Canis lupus familiaris: one gene and its partners. The protein of the gene in region 1 interacts with the protein of each later gene in a pairwise test. Links are inferred from orthologs where the notes say so. Each region holds a gene or a part of one and is shown in the gene's direction. Other genes may lie near its edges. The genes, in order: SMYD1, FAM204A and ZBTB44.

What was found.
Region 2: the proteins of SMYD1 (region 1) and FAM204A interact in binary tests that used the Homo sapiens proteins (3 or more experiments, as listed by UniProt). The link is inferred for Canis lupus familiaris from reciprocal best matches to the Homo sapiens genes SMYD1 and FAM204A.
Region 3: the proteins of SMYD1 (region 1) and ZBTB44 interact in binary tests that used the Homo sapiens proteins (3 or more experiments, as listed by UniProt). The link is inferred for Canis lupus familiaris from reciprocal best matches to the Homo sapiens genes SMYD1 and ZBTB44.

Annotation. Positions count from the first base shown.
Region 1 is NC_049238.1:38,543,771-38,547,297, reverse strand, and holds the end of SMYD1 (histone-lysine N-methyltransferase SMYD1), read left to right. Parts: intron 1-1,014; coding exon 1,015-1,183; intron 1,184-2,423; coding exon 2,424-2,582; 3' UTR 2,583-2,930; downstream 2,931-3,527. UniProt on the Homo sapiens protein: Methylates histone H3 at 'Lys-4' (H3K4me), seems able to perform both mono-, di-, and trimethylation. Acts as a transcriptional repressor. Essential for cardiomyocyte differentiation and cardiac morphogenesis.
Region 2 is NC_049249.1:29,028,330-29,032,773, reverse strand, and holds the start of FAM204A (protein FAM204A), read left to right. Parts: upstream 1-1,597; 5' UTR 1,598-1,623; coding exon 1,624-1,738; exon of another isoform or gene 1,739-1,788; intron 1,789-2,267; exon of another isoform or gene 2,268-2,380; intron 2,381-4,444.
Region 3 is NC_049226.1:4,603,103-4,607,274, forward strand, and holds the start of ZBTB44 (zinc finger and BTB domain-containing protein 44), read left to right. Parts: upstream 1-1,358; 5' UTR 1,359-1,452; intron 1,453-2,571; exon of another isoform or gene 2,572-2,624; intron 2,625-4,172. UniProt on the Homo sapiens protein: May be involved in transcriptional regulation.

The DNA of each region.
Region 1 (3,527 bases):
GGAGCCTGATGCGGGACTTGATCCTGGACTCTGGGATCACTACCTGAGCTGAAGGCAGCCACCCAACTGCTGAGCCACCCAGGCATCCTGCTTTTTTTTTTTTTTTAAGATTTTATTTATTTATTCATGAGAGACAGAGAGAGAGGGAGGCAGAGACACAAGCAGGGTCCATGCAGGGAGCCTGATGTGGGACTTGAGCCCAGGATTACACCCTGGGCTGAAGGCAGGTGCCAAACCGCTGAGCCACTCAGGTGTCCCAATGCTTTGGGTTTTCTTACGGCTAAGTCCACCTTGATTTCAAGGGCTTGGAAAGGTATGTCCCCCTAGCAGTTAGCACAGGCAATCCTGCAACCTTTCTTTTATTAAAATAAAATAAAATAAAAATAAATAAAAGAAGTGTCAGGCATCTTTGCTTACAAAATGCAAAGCCCTTCGCCTTCCATGTCTATATTGGCATGTGACTTTGTATCTTTGGCTCTTTGGCCAAAAGAGTAAGTTGGTACAAGCAGGCTCTTTTTTACTTTTTTTTTTTTTTTTTTTTTTTTTTAGAGAACATTACTCATATATAAAAGTCAGGAAAACTGTACAATATGCAGAAGGAAGCTCTGTTAGGAGCTATTCTCAAGGAGATGAGAATACAGTTCTGTCCCAAGAAGGACATTGAAGTTCTTTTTATTCCCCTGAACTTCTGCTTTCCAGGAAGAGGGCTGGGGTGTTCCCGAGAGCTCCCAGCTTCCTGTTATCTTGCAGGGTCCTCTGACTCTTTTGCCCATGATGACTAGGCTTACTGGCCCAGGGCAGAGTCTCACTCCCACAGGCTCACCCTGGGGAGTGTTTGGTAATTCCTCCCTTTCTCTGTGGCTCAGTTTCTGCTCCATGGGCTGCAGATGCCTCAGCACTGGTGGGAGAGCAGATGGACCAAGTCAGTAAGGGTACTTGGTAAGTCGTCAGATGCTGTGCAAATGTAAGGAAAGTTGGGATTATCTGTTACAATGATTTGCTATGTCCTCACAGGAAGCTCTACCACCCCAATAATGCCCAACTGGGCATGGCCGTGATGCGGGCAGGGCTGACCAACTGGCATGCTGGTAACATTGAGGTGGGGCATGGGATGATCTGTAAAGCCTATGCCATTCTCCTGGTGACCCATGGACCCTCCCACCCCATCACCAAGGACTTAGAGGCAAGTAGCATTTCAGAGCTGGGCCTCCTTTTCTGGTCTAAGCTCTCTCTAAGGGTGGGAGCTGGATTCCAGTTTCTGCTTTTGCAAAGTCCACAGATTACCCACTGAACCAGAAGGGAATTCAGAAATGCTTTAGTCCACTCCCCTTGTTTTACATCTGAGCAAACTAAGGCCCTGGGAAGGGGAGTAACCTGTCTATAGTCACATAGTGAATGGATGGCACAGCTGAGGTTTGAAGTCTGAGATGCTCCAAGTATGGATGGAGAAAGCCTACCCAGCAATGTGGGTGCAGCCATGTACATTAGATGTGCTTTGTAGAGTGGAGCTGGGGAGCACAGGCTCTGGAATCAGACTACTGGGATTGAACTCCAGATTCACTACTCTCCAGCTGTGTGAGTGCAAACACGGAATATGTGGGCCTGAGTCTCCTTATCAGTAAAATGGAGAAAAGGGATAGAGCTGTGATAAGGGTTCAGTGAGTTAATGTGTGAAAAGCACTCAGAACAGTGCCTAGCAAGTAGCATGCTCTTTATAATTGCTGGCTTCCTTTGTGCTTTGAAGGGCATTGTTTATTTGAGGGTGACAGGGTTCAAAGGACTGTACTCAGGCAGTATGGTACAGGGAAAGAGGACAGACTTTGTTGTCATAAAGTGTCTGAGAAGACTGACTTTATGCCTAGTATATCATTCACTGCTGTATTCTCAATTCATCAATGATGACTGGCCCTTGAGAAATATTTCTTGAATAGAAATATGGGTGCATGGGGATTTTCCTAGGTGTCACACACTATGATCTTTCTGGTCTGTTATGAAGTATTAAGGAATCTCACCCATTTATGTGTGAGGAAACTGAGCACTAAAGGGATTGTCACTGGCCTAAAGTCCCACAATGTTAGTTGGGACCTATGTGTGTGTGATCCAGGATTCAAATCCAGTTCCTGCAAACAAACATTCTCTGCTGAGAACAGTCCCTTGAGCTCCTCTCTCAGGGGTCTGACTCCCTCTCCCTAACAAACCAAGCCCAGTCCCAGGACATTGAGGCCCCTAGAGGATGAGTATGTGTGTGTGTCAGTGTGTATAAGTGTGTGTCCGTGTGTCCTCTCAGTGGATACAGCTGAATCTCAGTAACTAGGAGTTATTTGCTCCATTGTCTGCCCTTTTGAAAAGAGCCAAGGAAGATCAGAAGCCAGTATGTCCCAGTGGCCTGTCATCACTGTTTATGGTGTGTCTGTGTCCCACAGGCTATGCGGGTGCAGACGGAGATGGAGCTGCGCATGTTCCGCCAGAATGAGTTCATGTACCACAAGATGCGTGAGGCTGCCCTGAACAACCAGCCCATGCAGGTCATGGCCGAGCCCAGCAATGAGCCAGCGCCAGCTCTGTTCCATAAGAAGCAATGAGGACCTGTCTGGTGGTGGGCTGGGCACCATGGCTGGAGAATTGGGGAGACATTTGGGTTTGGGGGAAGTTGGAGTTGGTGGGTTTGGGGGAAGACCCTTGATGAGGAAGGCCGGATAATGTTCACTCTTGTGGCTGTGGGAATGCACTGTTCTGTGTTCCTCAGTTCATTTTGATTCATTTAAACTCAGTTCAACTTAATTGAACTCTATCCCAGCCCAGCCTAGCCCAACTTATCCTACAAATATTTATGGGGTGGAACACCCTAGGGATAAAGAAGCTTCAAATGTAGCGGGGGAAGCAAAATGTAAACAATTAAACAAGCTTAATAAATGCAATGGTAAACTATATGGGGGCTTCAGTGGAGGGCATGTGTCTGGTATGTGGCGCATGTGCATGTGTGTGTATGTGTGATGCATTGGGAAGGATGTCATGGAAGAGATTACGTTTGAGCTGAGGGTGGCAGGTGCCTGAAATCTCAAGTGGCTGCTCACCTATCTGTGCAGGTCTCTCTGGGGCTGCTGGTCTTACTCATGGTCTGGAATACTCAGGTCTTATGTGACTAGGATTGGTGATACCCAGTTTCCTCAGGTTAGTGTGGGGTTATGAAGAAGGGGCCATGTTCAGGCCATTTAGGTTCTACTCAGAGAATCAAAACCCCTTAGTAAATATGAGAATGAGATGAATATGCACAAAGAGGTAGGGCTTTGCCCTTAGCCACTTGAGGCTTCATTTTAGGGTCTGGATTCCAAGTGTTCTGAAACTATTTCTAAAACACACAGGAGTGTCTCCTGCTCCCCACCCCCCACTGCCAAGCCCTGATTCCCTGTGATGTGGGTGTGACTTGGACAGTAACCGAGATTTTCCTGGCCATTGACCAACCAGGATTGAAGTCTTAGCGGGGTGAAGCTGAGAGAGAAACTTGGAAACACCTATACCTGATGATC
Region 2 (4,444 bases), on another chromosome or scaffold:
CCTTTAGGATGGTAAGAAATTAACTTCTGTTGTTTAAGCCACCCAGTGCGTGGTATTTTGTTATGATAGCATGAGCAGACTAAGACAGTAACTAAGAGGCCCAAATGCAACAGCCATAGCGGCACTTTTATACACATCCTTTCTTTAACTGCCTAACTTGTTAAAGATTTGGATTGGGGGACCCCTGGGTGGCTCGGTGGTTGGGCGTCTGCCTTCCGCCCAGGGTGTGATCCTGGAGTCCCAAGATAGATTCCCACATTGGGCTGCCTGCATGGAGCCTTTTTCTCTCTCTGCCTGTATCTCTGCCTCTCTCTCTCTGTATCTCTCATGAATAAATAAAATCTTTAAAAAAAAAAAAAGATTTGGATTGGGGAAAAATCCTATTGAGAAGCTGGACACAATTGGCCAAGAGAGTTTCACACAGATCCTGAAATCACTCAGACCTGCTTTTTTTTTTTTTTTTTCAAGATTTATTTATCCATGAGAGACACACAGAGAGAGAGGCAGAAACACAGGCAGAAGGAGAAGCAGGCTCCATGCAGGGAGCCTGGTGTGGGACTCGATCCCAGGACTTCAGGATCACCTGAGCCAAAGGCTGATGCTCAACCACTGAGCCACCCAGGTGCCCTCAGACCTGTTTCTATTCTAGAACCTGAGAAGGTCAGCATGAAGGACTTGAGTGACCCAAGGTTGTCAATTCAGGTTCTATTATGATTCTGGGCTTACAGAAAACTACTCCATAAACCTGGCATATCCTTCTGGGACACACTGAGGGTGAGGTAATGAATAGTTACCTAGTAAGCTTAAACATCTGTTTACACTAAATCATGATATATTAGAGTGCAATGCAAAACTCTTTCACATTTTTAGAGTATAGCTAAGACAAAATCACTGTGGTCTAGGCATTATGTTAAGGACTTTATGTGTATTTTATCATCCTCACGAACTGGAAAATAGTATACTTAAAAAAATAGGAAAGTATTTTTAGTCTTATCATTATTACAGAGCACGATTTCAGAAAATAGAAGCATTTCTAAAAATAGCCTGCTCTCTCATCACTATCACATTATCCTGCTTTATATTCTTCATAGCACTTTTTTTTTTCTAGTTTCTTTTTCCTTACTTATTTTCTATGCTCCCCCAAGTCCTGCCCGGGGGCCTGAACCAGTGGCAGTCACAGAAAAGGGGTTCGATGAGCTTTTTAGACAAGGCCCCACATCTGGTCAGTGCAGCAGCTGGTTAGCACCAGGAGAGCAGGAGTCCGGGCTGTTTCTGGCAGGGTGCCTGGTCAATAATTATGTACAGGAGGAAGAAAAAGGAAGGGAGGGAGGAGGGAAAAGGATGAATGAATGGAAATGTTCCCAGAAGAGCCTGGAGAGCATCTACATCGAACTTCCCCTCCTTGGGGGAAATGAACTCAGGTCAAGGGCTAAGCCAGCACTTTCCTCATCCTCAACAGCAGCGAGCAGCAGGGAATGGGGGGTGGGGTGGGTGGGGGGAAACCAAAGCCTTTAAAAAAGGTCCAGAAGAAAAGGGAGGAAACGGTGAAGGAAAAGAAGCAGAAAGAAACGAATCCGCCGCTGCAGACACATCCGAAAGCGGAGCGAAGCGCGGCCGGTTGCCATGACGACCCGAGGCCAGAACGGCCGCAGCCCATTGGCTGAGAAGCCGGAGCCAATGGGGAGGCGCGGTGTTGGCTGGGTCTTAAGATGGCTGCCGGGCGGCCGGCTCCCGACGGGTGAGTACGGCTGATGGGGAGGCCGCTTCCCGGTCGCTCCGAGTCTCCGACCTGACGGGTCCGGGAGGGCCGGGTGCGGGGAGCGAGGGGGCAAGTGTGGGCGGCCTCGCAGCCTCACGGGCGAGCCAGCGAAGCCCCCCCGGCTGGGCTCACGGGAGCGTCGGTGAGGCTGCCCCCCCCCCCCCCCCCGCCCTCTTTGCTGGGAAGGGACGTCTCAGCGTCTTCCCGAGCCTGTTGCGGGGAGAGGGGCTCGCCGTCCCGGCCTGGCCAGAGTGAGACGGCGAGGAGGCTCCAGGGCGGGGGGGAAGCAGGCTCGTGTGGACGGCTGCGGTCGCTGGGACCGGCCGCGGGCCCGACGTCCCGCCCTGACTGTGCGGCGCTTGGTGGTGGGGCCGGGCCGGGCCGGGCGTGTCCCGCTCGGGCTCCGGGCTCCGGGACGGGCAGCCCCGCAGGAAGTACTGTCACGGCGGCATCCGACCTAAAATGAGCCTCGAGGTGTTCCCGGTCAACTGTAAGTCTCTCCGCGCAGGGTCTTTCCAGGCCTTGACCGAACACGTACTTGCATCGCATCGAAACCTGTGCACACGTACAAAATCCTGCCGAACGGGTCCGGAGAATCGGACGGCGGAACTTAAACTGGAGGTCAGGCCTCTGATTCAGTCTCGTAGTTTTTACCTTTTTTTTTTTTTTGAGAAAAAGAGAACACACTTCATGAACAGGACATGGACGCGAATGTTGATGATAACGTGCTTCGTCAAAAGTGAAGTAGTTCCAAGTCACGGAGACTGATTGTTGTGTAAATCATTTCACAGGATTGCCGGGCGGTGGTTTATAAGATTATTATGCAAGTTAGAATTAAATTCACATCAGACCAAACTCAGGTTTCTGTGATGATTCTAGTCGAAGGCGAAAGTATGGGAAATAAGACCGCTTCGTATAGTGAAAGTGGAATTGGAATTGTGGAATATCAGAGACAGGAGACTAAATGACTCAGGTTGGGTTTGGTTATAAGCAGTGGCCTTGATCTTCCAGAAAATGGTGACGTTATTACCCAAACCTCTGAATGTGGTTTTTATGTATACGTTTTCGTATAGCATCTTAACATGACTTTCGGCTTTTTAGAAAGTAAAAAAAAAAAAAAAAAAAAGATTAAGCAGATTTTAACAAAATTACAAGCTAGAGTCATTTCAGATCCACCCTCAAATCTTTGTCTCCAAGAATATATTGCTACTTAAATTGCATCCTCTAAAAGTTTCTAAGTCGAAGCCCATAGAGTTCTGTTTTTGTAAAATAAGCAGATCACAGTCACAGTGCGTTAGGCAAGTCAGTTCCCTCTCCTGTAAAAGGGCTGTAGATAGTAATTTCTAGTGGAAGAGTTATGGGGATTCATGGTAAAAGAATTTCTGTTACATGGTTTGTGACATTGTTTATATGCCATATATAGCATTGACTTGCTTTGTTTTTCTTTCTGGTTCTTTTTTTTTTTTCTGTATAACAGGGGTCTCCTTTGCTTTCTTTAGAGCATCTTTCAGGTGTTTGGTCTGACATGTAGTCTTACTGAAAACTAGAAATCTTGGCTGTGGTGGCAGGATTGAGGAGAGAAGCCTTATCCACTGGGGTATTGGGGTTTAATCAGTATTGCATCTGACTGGTATATCACATCCCTTGAGAATGGCTGAGTAATTTTCAGATTTAAAGGGTAATTTGGGATGATTTGCTTTAGAATAAAGGCATGGGGTGAGAGACATTTCAGAGAATTAGACAATCATCCTTAATAGCAGCCAAAACAGGAGTGAGCGCCAGGCCTAACCTAGTACCATAGTTGGTACCATGGTACGACTGGAAATGTATGCGTGACATATATATACTGTGAATTCAAAGACAGTGTTTCCAAACGTGAGCCCAAAGCAAGTCATAAAGCAGCCACTTGATATTGGCTGATTTACAGTTGAGTTGCTGCTCACGTGGGCAGCTCCACTTTGCAGGCTCCCCCAGTGAGTTATCTTTGTTTATCAGTGGCCATGGAGTTGTCCCTGTGTGTGTGTGTGTTTGTATTTAGAATCACAGGAGAATGGCATATCACTTTAAAGATGTTCGGGAATTGAGTTCAGAAATGTGTTGTCTGAATTTTGCCTTATTTTATGGATTTGGATCTACTTTCTAAAATTTATTTTAATTTTTCTTTTTCCCATGTGCACCCACAAGAAATTATTCTACCAGCCAATGTCATACTGAACAGCTAAATGTCACAGCAACGAGAGCTAAAAATAGATGATTTGGGGAAGGTCTAGAATGTGATTAAAAAGATGCTTGAAAAAAATAGTAAAAAAATAAAAAGATGCTTGAGAGGTGATGGAGAAAGGCAACTCCAGGGCAACCGAGAGTGCTCCCCAGGGTGAAGCACATTTGAGTGGCCAGAGCATAGACACACTCTATAGGGGTATTGAAGCAGTGCTCTAGCAGGAGAACTGTGCCCATCAGAGAGGTGCATGCTTTTCATTAGCAGTCACAATTGAAGTCTGGGTGGAGAGCTATTTGGCTGCTGCTGGACAGAGACGCTTGCCATGTGTGTAGAATGTTGGCTTTATGAAGTTAGATATTTTTGCCTGTCCCCATGTCTTAAAAGAGTGCCTGGCACACAGTGGCCATGCGCAAGATGTTATGGACAGGGAAAAGAAACCATGGTTTAAAACAGAACCCCCACTT
Region 3 (4,172 bases), on another chromosome or scaffold:
ATCGGGACGCCCCCGCCCCGGGGTAGGGCCCTGGAAAGTGATGGTGTAATAAAGCGAGACTCAAGGTTATGCAAAGAATAGGCCTATTGGTGGGAACAGCTCCAGGTGCCCCCGTGTTGGGGGGGGGATGAGGCAGATCTGGGTGTTGATTTCTCCACTCATTTCAGAACCGCACTTCCTGCCAGATCGCCCAGGGAGATGCTAGAACGCTCTCCGAGCCCTGCAAGGATGCCAGTCCGGAGGCGGTTCGCGGGCCCGGTGGTCCGCGAGCACAGCGATGGCGTCCCGCACGTGTCCGGCCACGCGTCTTCGCGGGCCTCAGTTTCCCCGTGTGAAAAATGGGCGGAGCGCAGGCTCACCTCCCTCACCCAGAGAAACGGGGCTGGGTGTTCCGGTTTCGGCCCCGCTACAAAAAAACCACTCGAGAAACGAGGAGTTTCTTTCGTTTTCAGTTCAAAGAAAGAAAAAAAAAAGGGAAGGAAAAAAAAAAAAAAAGCAAGAAGCGTGAACATGCCCAGAAATGCGTCCGTTAGGGACGCCCGGGTGGCTCAGCGGTTGAGCACCTGCCTTCGGCCCAGGGCGTGACCCTGGAGTCCCGGGATCGAGCCCCGCACTGGGCTCCCTGCGTGGAGCCTGCTTCTCCCTCTGCCTGCGTCTCTGACGACCAAATAAATAAAATATTAAAAAAAGGAAGCAATGCCTCCGTTAGTGTAAGCGCGGAGGGGCTGGCGGAGAGGGCGCCGAGCGGAAGGCCGCGTGCACACGCACAGACACCGGCGCGCACACGCCCGCGGGAGGGGAGAGCCGGGCCCGCCGGCCGCCGCTCCGGCCCGGGCAGGGGCAGCGGCAACGCGAGCGGGAGCGGGAGCGGGAGCGGGAGCCGGAGCGGGAGCGGCCTCCGCGGCGCCTGCGCACTGGCCGCGCCCGCCCCGCCCCCACCGCGCCGGCGCCCCGCCCCCGGCTCGCCCCGCCCCGCCCACTCCCCTCGCGGTCCCAGCCCGGCCGCCCGCGCACGGCATTGTGGGACACAAACAAAGTGCCCCCGAGCAGGCTGGAGCGAGCGGAGCGGCAGCGGCCGCGGCGCCGGCCCCCTCCCGGCCGCCCCCTCCCCTCCCCTCACTCCCCTTCCCTCCCCCGCCCCGCCCCGCCGGGCGCCCGCGAGCCGCCGCCGCCGGCCCTCCCGCCGGGCGCCCCGGGGGCTGCGCCGCCGCCGCCGCCGCCGCCTCGCGCTCGCGCCCCTCGCGGGCACGCCATGCCCCGGCCGCAGGCCGCCCACGGGCCCGGGCGCGGCGGCCCCAGGTAGGGGCCCCCGGCTCCCGGGGAGGAGAGAGGCGGCGGGCCCGCGCTCCGCCCCCTCCCCCCGGGCCGCCGCCGCCGCCGCCGCCGCCGCCGCCTCAGCCTGGCGGGGAGGAGGAGCAGCAGGCCTCCGGGCCCCGGCGCCGCCGCCCCCAGGTACCGGGGAGGGGGAGGGGGAGGGGGAGGGGGGGAAGGAGGGAGGGAGGGGAGGGGGCGGGAGGTGCGCCCCCCGCCCGGCCGCGCCGCGGGACGCAGAGCCCCGGCTCGCGGGCCCCCTCGGCGGCGTCCGCTCCTGCAGGGAGGAGACCAGCCGGGGGGGGCGGCTAGGAGCAGTGTCCCCGCTCGGCCGGGGCGCCCCCTAACCCGCGGGGGCGGCGGAGTCACCTGCTCTCACCTGGCGAGCCCCAGACCTGCCCCCCACACACACCCACATCCACCTCCCTCCCCCCCCCCCGCTGCAAAGAAAAGGATGGCACTCTTGGGGGAAAAAAAAAAAAAAAAAGAATAACAACAAACACCCCTTTTCCTTCCCTACCTGAGGATCACCGCATAGCTAGTCGCTTTCTGCCGGCCTAGCCAAGGAGGGGGGGGAGAAGGGGTGGGGAGTTCCCTGCAGGTGAAACTGGCACGTCCAGCACAGGTGATGCGAGGGGCTCTGCGTGCGGCTCCCACCCGGAATCTTCATTGTGCACTCGATTGGAACTTGAAGGAATGAAGACAAAAACTTAAGTTGTTTGTGGGTTTTTTGTTTTTTGTTTTTTTCCCCTTTTACACCGTATAAGTAGATTGAATCTGTTGAGGTCAGGAAGAAATGGTTTCCCACTTGTTCTCTTACAGGTTGGTGTGTTGGGACATAGACTGGTAATACCCTAAACGCACTAATCGGTGTGGTAAGAGGGCAGATAGTCTGGCCAGGTAAAAAATTTCTGATTCCCATTGGCCTGGGCTTGGAGTTAGAATTATTGGGTTTAAGAAAATAATGATCATAAAAAGAAGCACCATACAAATCTTCACTTCCCTCATTGCTTCGCATTGCCAGTGCATTAATAATATTTCATTGTGCCTAGTGGAGTTTCCTTATCACGCAATGTGAAAATCACCAAAGGAATGTTTTTTTCCCGTAGCCTTTTGTGTTTTTTTTAGGACGATAGCACTCATCGATTGCGGAAACCAGATTTACTTATTTTGTGCAACACAGGCATCTCGCATATGTGGTCTTATTTAATTCTCAGAGCAACCTGATGACTTAGACGTTATTCCTTGAATTTTGTCTAGGTGAACAGATCACACAGCTAGAAGTGAAATCTGTACCCAGATAGAATTCCAAGGTGGGTAATGTTTCTGCCTTGCCGCTCAGCACAGGGACACTTTTATTACGAAAGATTTGTCTCATGAAATTGAGAAATAATGAATATTTCACTATGTAGATGGAGTGAGTAAGGTTGTTCCCCCTCACTCCTCCCTTTTAGTGTCTCTCTTTAACCATTTGAAAGTAAGTTGCAAACATGGGGACCCTCGACTAATTTCAGCATGCATTTCCTAAAAATAAAGGACATACTTCTCCTCAACGTCATCATCTACACCTTTCTAAATTAATCCATATGCAAATTTCCTCTTTATTCTAAAATCTCCTTGAGAAAATTTACCCCTTCTGTATTCACTTGAGATTATTGCATTTGACCATTATGCCTTTAGTCCCCTTTTAAAAATAATACCCATCACCTTTTTTTTCCTGACACTTACTTGACCCAACCACTTGTCTTTTAGAATGCTCCCACATTCTAGACTTGTCTATTTCCTCATAGTGATATTTAATTTATTCCCCTAGCTCCTTGACTTTTCTGTTACTGGAAGTTAGATCTAAGGAAAAACTTGATTAGCTTGAGGTAGTAACTTTATTTGGCAAGAATATTGAATAGGTGATACTGTGTACTTCTCATTGCTTCATGAACAGGTATATAATGTCAGATTGCTACACTGTTGGTAATGCCAAATGACCACTGAAGCGGTGACTACCAAATCGGCTGTAAGAGTTTGTTTTACCCTTTGATTTGTATGTGATCTTGGGATAATACTTTGACACCAAGCAAATATCTTGTTTCTGGCTACTTTCTGTTTAGTGATTTTAGCACTCTTTGGTGACTCTTGATTAAACCAGTTTTACTGGAGATTTTCTGTAAAAAAGATTTCCTTCATTAACTAGGGGTAAGCTGAAGTTCCTCCTAAACAATGCAGAGTAAATGCTTAATTTCTTCCCTTTGATTATCAATATTCAGAGAAAGGATTGGAGAAATAGTTACCTTCAATGGTGGCAAATGAGATTTTTTTCTTGGTTTTTTTTTTTTTTTTTTTTTTTTGCAGGATACACTATAGACTCATGGGTTTTAATGTATTTATTCTTTTTTTTTTTTAATGACCATTACAGTAATTTTCTTTTTGACCAGATTGTCCCAGATTTGAATAGTAGGAACCCTTTCAACCTGGCTCCTATGTCTTGTTGTTGTTGTTGTTGTTGTTGTTAAATACTTCTGCTTGCTATTGGAGCATTCTTGGAGTACTTTCTGGCACAACATACCCTAGGCTTACCATGTTACTTTCTTTGCTCTATATCTGGAATGGAGTCTGGATCTAAGGAGTCTTGGTTTGGTTTTTTTTTTTTGTTTGTTTTTTTTGTTTTTGTTTTTGTTTTTAATAAGAAATGGTATATAAAAACCAAGATCAGGATGTTGACATACTCATTTGCTGCTGGAGTGTCATTGCTTCAAGGCCCTTTCAGAGGAGAGAACTAAAAAATGGGTTTTTGCTTGTTTGTTGAATCATAAGTTCATAGTGATATATCAAATTCAGATTTAACATAGCAGACCTTTCATTAACTT